Drosophila melanogaster: one gene and its partner. The protein of the gene in region 1 interacts with the protein of each later gene in a pairwise test. Each region holds a gene or a part of one and is shown in the gene's direction. Other genes may lie near its edges.

Region 1 (3,753 bases):
TCCGTCGCCTGTTTCCGCCTCGCCCGGAGGTGTTGGCAGCGGTCCCAATCTGGAGGCAGCCATGTGCCTCGTTTCCGGCGGCAGTCAGAGCCAAAGCATCGACGAGGGTATCTCGATACCCGAATCGGAGACGCACTCCTGCCGCAGTCGCACCTCTTCCATAGTGTCCACCGCATCGTCCAGTACGCAGGTGCTGGTCAACGACCTGGTGGATGATGCCACTCTGATGGACGATGCCAAAAGTGAGACCTCATCGATCGGTGGATGCTCCACCATTAGCATAGAGTCATCCTCCTGCGATAGTGGTGCCAAGACGGCTGCCACTTTCCTGAATCGCCTGGTGGTTGATTCCGATGGCGGTGGTTCGCCGCTGGCCCAAAAGAGCTTCTACATTAACAAGCAGGGATTGTCGGGCGCCAAGAAGTTTGTGGTCAATCACGAGCGAACGGGAGCCGTCAGCAAAGATGTGCCGCAAAAGCTTTAAGAACATACACAGATTAACTTAGTTTAGGGGTCGATTTTAGGAAATTCTAAGAAATGCTTATAATCTCAGGAGCCAAAAGTTAATCATTGCTGCACTTTAGCTGATTTGTTTTGAATGCTTTAGAAAATATTTTCGAATAAAATTGCATAGCTTGATCATTTTTAAGTTCTAAAACTCAACCAAAGGTTTTGTTATAAAAACCACAAGCAATATTTTTTTAGAAAGAAAATTGAATTAAGAATACCTTTGGTGTAATATGTAAAGGATTAAAAATGGTTTAAAATGTATATTTCCCGTAGTGTTCAAAACAAATCTTCGTGGAAGAGACAAAAGATAAATTAGTGGTACTTTGATTTTTGTTTAAGAAAATCGACCCGAAATAACCAATTACACACACACGCTTAAGTTGAGAGTTTCAAAAGATCCTCCGACTTGCTTAACTTTAGATCGTAGCTTTGTTGTACATAGTTAAGTTGTTTGTCTGAAGTTCTAAACCATCTTGCATATCATTTAACGCTGCGCACTTCCCTTCACCCCTAGAATCAATCGGTTTTAATATGTTAGCCTAAGGTTCACTATACTATATATAGCCAGAGTTTATTGCCTCGATCTTTGTGTTATAGAATGTTTTCCCATTTCCAATGTTTCGGTTAATAATCGACGTACATTAGTTTTGTTTTTAGTCGCCACCTCACCCCTTAGATATTAGGAAGAAAACCCCAATTTTGCCAAATATGTTTATTCTATGCTTATGTGTAATAATATATCCAGCATTATATTGCCTATAATGTGATCCAATTTAGCGCGGATATCTGCGCGTATCCCACAAAAACCTTACTGATATAGTAACGCATATATTATATAGATTTACGATCCGATTCTAATTATCGTAAGCGAATTTACATAGTTTCAAGAAAAAAAGTTATACTTAAAAAGGATCCAAAAAGAAATACACATTTTTTCAATTGATCAAATTGTTTGTTTTCATTGGTTGGCTTAAACAATTAACTACTATATAAATAATTAAATAAATATGTTAACTAGATTATAAATAGCGACTTAAGTAAAAAGTATCTCGCGGGCAGTGAACTTGACCATATTTTATGTACATAAGATACTAAACCTAAAGCAAGAAAGTGCCTATTCAAAATGAGTATATTTCAGATAGAAAATGCACAATTCCTACGGCCATAGCATTCATTACTTTATAAATATTAAAAGCAGGTATAATTTATATTATTATATATACAACTTTTATGAGTATGCCTAGAATAACGTCGCCCAGCGTAATATCGTGCCAGCCACATGAAGCACCTGCAAGCTCGAGTAAGTATCCACATACACGATATGCACACACACGCACCGAAAAGTTCGAACACCTGGGTAATGAGAAGCCGAGCATTGCTCCCCAAATCCCCAATCCCCATTCGCAAACAGCGACATACTGGTTTCCCCACACAGATAGGACACAATGCACATGGCCAGATGCTCGTGCCTTGAACACGGACGAACCAATCCCGCAGACCAGAAGATAGAAGCCAGGGACCGAGACCGACCGAGACCGATAAACCAGGCCGTTTCCACACGGACCAAGTCGAGTGGGTGTCTGTGGACGTGTGAGGGGATCCGATACAAACGAGTTTTATAGCAAAAAAAAAAAAAAAAAAAAAACAACAAAATAAGATAACTAAGCGCTGCAGTCACGATCGCCAATATTTCGAGACCGAGAGACCAAAGCAATCGGGAGCCTAGCCCAAAGCATTCGAAGCGGATCTGGGAACCTGGCTCCATATATCACAGGGGCAGAACCCCACTACCCACGCCAATGGAATACAAATTAGAAGAAAACACGCTATCCTAGGCAGCCAAAAGTGACTCAAAAGTGATTATATAAGTCGGATGCGAAAAAATATAAAGGTGAGTTTGTCTCTTCCTGTTTAAATATGGTTAGTTATTTAGAATATGTATGTATGTATAAGATTATCTCTTAATTGCTGAATGCTTTAAATTTATTTAATTTTATTTGAATTTAATAATTATTTAAATCACAGGATGAAGGATGAGAAACATGTTTACGTTTTCAAAATCGAAAACTAGTCAAATTTGTCGTATATGGCTTATCGTAAAGGCTTATACTAAACAAAACGCGAATATTAGTAATTTTTCACCTGCAAGCCATTTTTTAACACTCCATAAAAAACGATCGCGGGTTTTCAGGCATTTATGGGCATTTTACCGAAGATCGCCCTGAAAATGGAAAATAACCAAAGAAGCGGCCAATAATTAAAGTCAATTACTTAGATATATGTACATATGTACGAAGGTACATATGTATATACTTGCATAAAAAGGAAACCAACAACAAAAAGCTAAAAATAAGAAGAAAAGCAAATGCGAATAAAAAAAGTTGAAGGCGCACGGTTTTACTTTAGCGCTGCTGCTCGGACGTCAATAAATTTTTTTTCGACGTCGACGTTGACGTTGACAGCGGCGTTGGCGCTGGCTACGCCGTTGTTGTTGCCTTTTACGCTTTGGTCACGCTGCTCCCTTTTCGTTGCTCCTCTACCCCCTCCCACCGCGCTCTCGCCATGCTTCCGTACTCCCACTCGCCCACTCTCTCGCCCACCTCCCCCTTGATATCACTCTCCAGCTCTCTTTTCGCCTCTCTGCACGGGCGTAAGCATTTGCGTCGAAGGGGGTTATTTGCCCCAACCACAATAAATACTTTAAATTTTTAATCCTACATTATCGTTCCTATTTAACAAAAAGCAAATTATCTTTTTTTTGGCATTTCATTGAAGATTAGATCGTTGTTATATACAAGTATATATAGTAAGGAATTCCTTTCACTCCTGGTAACCTCACCCCTTCTCATGTCCTGCCTACGCCCCTGCTCTTGTGAGCAATCTTGAAAATCGTGAGTTGTTGTTGCTGCTGCGCCTGTTGCTCCGGCTGTAATTGCATTGTTTTTGTTGTTGCCCTTGTTGTTGTTGTGGGGCATTTTCTTTGTTTTTCGTGTTTCGCTCTTGCGTGGCCCCAAGAAAAATCAAGTTAACACGCCAATGGGCAGTGGTGGGAAAGGGGGGCTAAAGGCTCACGTTCGTGCACACAAAAAAAAAGCCTTAAGCGCTGCCCACATGGTTGTTGTTGTTGTTGCTGCTGCTGCTCTGCTCGCTTCGCTGATTCACAAGCCGGGCAGCGCAGTCGGCGTCAACTCGAAGCTCGACTTTTGCGGCGTTTTGTTGTTTTTGCCGAGAGGTTGCTGCTCG
Region 2 (3,753 bases), on another chromosome or scaffold:
ACGGAGATACAAGCTCAAGTGAAATTACTTCAGCACTTGACTACTTTCTGATGAGATAGATGTCTGTAAAAAAATTATATCAATGTAATGAACAGTTTAAATTAATATCAGAAATATAGTGTCATATTCTCCAAACTAGGTTTCCTTGGGAAGTCTCGTTTAGAGCTGCTCGGTTGGCAACTTATGAAGGAATATAACAGATACGGGGCTCAGATCAGGTGGACTTGAAGCAGACCTTTAAACGAAGTCCTTGGCCTTGGAGCACCTACAGATTGCACTGAATGGTCTCGCTATCCTCAAAATGTCCACATTAGAATTCAGCTGCCCCGCTGAACTGAAGTAACGTCGCTGTGCCCGGAATATTCCCGGCCAAGTAAATGCCCGGGCCGCACCAACCCCAAATTCCTCTGACTTAGCACTTAACTCCGCCCTTCGGAGTCTGCGCATTGCGTACTCCCAAGTCCGCTAACTCTTCCCTAGTCCACCAACAAATTCTGCGTTAATTAATTAGAAAAAATCACAGTTTAAGGCGTGAAAAAATCGGAGATGGCCCGTTGTAGGACGACGAAGGCGTTGAAATTTCAACGCCTTTCGCGAAACTTTTGAAGAACCTTAATCCCAAGTTGGGATTAACATCTGCTTCGAGGGGGAAAACAAGGTAGCAGACATGCAACGGTTATTAGGTAGTATGATAAAATCTATAAAAAATTATATGTACATTAGTTATTACTTTAGTTAAATGCATATCTAGTGGGCTTCTGTTTTTGCTGTCGCTCTCGATTTGAAAAAGCATCACACCAAGCAAACAAGTTAAAGTTGCCTTCAAATTTTCGTAGAAAAATTTTTAGTTAAACATAAATTGAAATTAGTTTTTTTTTTTTTTTTTTTTTTGAATCGTGATGAGCTACACAAATCTCCTGCGCCATCAGAATGTGGTCGATGACTGCCAGCGGGTGAGCTGCAACCGCACTCCGCCGATCACTGTCACCGGGCGCTGTGTGATCAGTCGGGACATCGTGATCGGCTGCCGCATGGAACAGTGCGATCCGGACATGCCCTACATGCTGGAGCCGACGTGGGGCGTCTACCTGCGCCCAGGTCGCGATGGCGGCGACCTGTCGCGGTTCGTGCGGCGCGTCACCTTCAAGATGTCGCCGCGCCTGCCGCTGCGACTGCACGTGGCGGACAGCGCTCCGTTTGAGATTGGCGAGGTACTGGGCAGCGACTTTCCCGTGGAGGTGCAGGTGCAGTATATGGATGCCCGCATGTCGGCCACCTCGTACATCTTCCGGCCGCGCGTGGTGCGCGAGGGTCACGCCGGTATTTGCGAGGAGATGCTCGACAAGATGATATTCGTCAATCCCTCGCCCATGATGAGACAGAATCTAACGCCCGTGCTTGTGCCCAGTGCAAATGGTGCGCCCGGGGACAGGACATCGCCCCAGTTTGCAATGGAGTCCGCCATGCCGGAGACACCGGGTGAGCGAAAGGAACAGGACCGGGATCGGGAGCAGGTGGGCGATGTGGCGCGACCCTCGCAGCCGCCGGCAAAGCAGCCCAAGAAGCGTCTAAGTGTGGGCATACCCCATCCCATCGGTCATCAGTAGTCGTGTATAGATACATTGGGCTCTATGAAAGGAACAACTGAGAATGTTTGTTGTCCTGGCATGTGCAGTTACTGGATTGGCATTGGATACGTTTAAATTACTAAATAAATTATGAATTTCATTTACTTCTAAGACAGCTGCTTATGCTAATATATATTATAGTTTGCTCATACTCGTTTTATGTTTTGGTATCTAATCTAATCAAAAAGTAACAGGCTCGGTAAGAAGTCAGCCCAACATTGGTAACCCAAACGTACATACATATGTATGTACGAGTACGCCCATTTTGTGTGTATGCCTCGTCCGGGGGTGGATGCTGCGCCATTGGCCCCGCCCTCTGTCCATAGGGGGTTGGTTCCCAGACACACAGTGCCAGTTACCCAGTCAGTTGCTCACTTTGCTGCTGCGCTTCGAACGCAACAGAACGCACGTATCCTCTGCTCCGGCGAATCGGAGAGATGGCCTGGCTACCGAGCAGCTCGAACGGAGCGGATAACGCGGACGAACGGAGCACCGCCTCGAGCGGATCCTCCGGCCACAGCCAGACCAACGAGTCACCGCGATCCGGGCACCTGAACGGTAATGGTAGCATGCGGGACACTGCCGCTGGCAGGCATCCGCCCGCCCTGCTCCGACATGCCACGCCCCACCTGCAGCCCAAGACGGAGTCCATATCCGATGGAGACGGTGACGCGGAGCTTTCCGACTTCTCGCTCAACGACACGGAGGAGGACGAGGAGGATCTTCGCGATTACATCGTTCTGAATGGCAACCAGGCGGATGGTGAGGCTTAGTCTTTAAAACTTTAGAGCTCCTAGAACATCCCGTAGTTCCCAATTTCTTATATACATAACGCTCGATTCCTTTGTTCCGCCCGCAGCGAATCGCTCACTGTCCAGTTCGCCGCGCAGTCACTCCCGCAACGGACTGCTGACCGCGCCGGCCAGCTCCGGAAGCTCAGTCGGCGGTAGCGGCGGTGGTGGAGGCAATGGCTCCGGCGGCAATGCATCCAGTGGCGGCGGCAGCGGCGTAGGAGCCACCGGCGGTGTGCGCAAGGTGTTCACCAACACAAGGGAGCGATGGCGCCAGCAGAACGTGTCCGGTGCCTTTGCAGAGCTGCGCAAGCTGGTGCCCACACATCCGCCGGACAAGAAGCTATCGAAGAACGAGATCCTGCGCTCGGCCATTAAGTACATTAAGCTGCTGACGGGCATCCTCGAGTGGCAGCAGCGGCAGGCGCCCTCGCATCCGATCAGGGCTCAAATGGAGCCGAACAACAACGACAATAGGATGGCCAATGGCCATGCGGCGGACGGGGAGAATCTGGAGAATCCAGATGTTCCGCCTGTACGGCACATCAAGTGTGAACGCACCGACGGGCAGATGCACAGGAATGGCATTGGGCACGGACATGCCAACGGAAACGCTGGCAACGACCTGCTGATGATTGCCCCGGGAGCCGTTGTCAAAAGCGAGCTTCTCCTGGAGTCTACACTCCCACTTGGGCATCCGTTAAACGGCCCACCCCTGCCGTTGACCACTGCTCCGCTGGCCATGGCCGAGACTCAGCGAATCAGTGGCACCGTATCCGGTGTAAAATCGGCCAGCGGACGGAGTAGCAAGCGACGCCTCAAGCCGGAAGGCGGAGCCACCGATCTCAGTCTGGGCAAACGGCGCAGGACGTAGAATAAGGAATCTAATGGATGGAATCTTGGAAAAAGTGGATACCGGCTTTGCCAAAGCATTCGGAGATAGTATACTATCCCCGATTTGCTATTTTTTTTATCTACCAATAAATTACAAAGTTAATAGTGCAAATTGCAGATGCAGAATCAATAGTTATAGTTTGTATTGTTTATTCAAATTTCATTCTAAATAATTTACGGTTTAAAATAAAAAGCAAATTCGACAAATCATTAAAAAAAAAAACTTGCAACTGTGAATTGAATTTCCAATCGAACGAAATCAGTAAGCAAGTAACATAAATCATAAAATTAGGATGGTGAGCCAATCTAAAAAAAAAACATCTAAAATCCAAAAATCTAATAAATTTGCCACAAATTGTGTAATTATACTAATTTTTTTTTTATAGCAATAAAAATAGTTGTCAAAAAGTGGAATGTCATACCTCGTTGAATTCGTAACA

Evidence for each region. The genes of interacting proteins can lie anywhere in the genome.
Region 2: the proteins of CG4496 (region 1) and HLH3B interact in a two-hybrid assay, tested with the Drosophila melanogaster proteins (one large-scale study listed by BioGRID).

Annotation. Positions count from the first base shown.
Region 1 is NT_033779.5:7,188,133-7,191,885, reverse strand, and holds the start of CG4496 (uncharacterized protein), read left to right. Parts: upstream 1-1,875; 5' UTR 1,876-2,401; intron 2,402-3,753. Other genes in the region: CG4497 (uncharacterized protein), read left to right, coding at 1-484.
Region 2 is NC_004354.4:2,679,971-2,683,723, reverse strand, and holds HLH3B (helix loop helix protein 3B), read left to right. Parts: upstream 1-2,000; 5' UTR 2,001-2,065; coding exon 2,066-2,390; intron 2,391-2,487; coding exon 2,488-3,293; 3' UTR 3,294-3,525; downstream 3,526-3,753. Other genes in the region: CG2652 (uncharacterized protein), read left to right, coding at 900-1,607.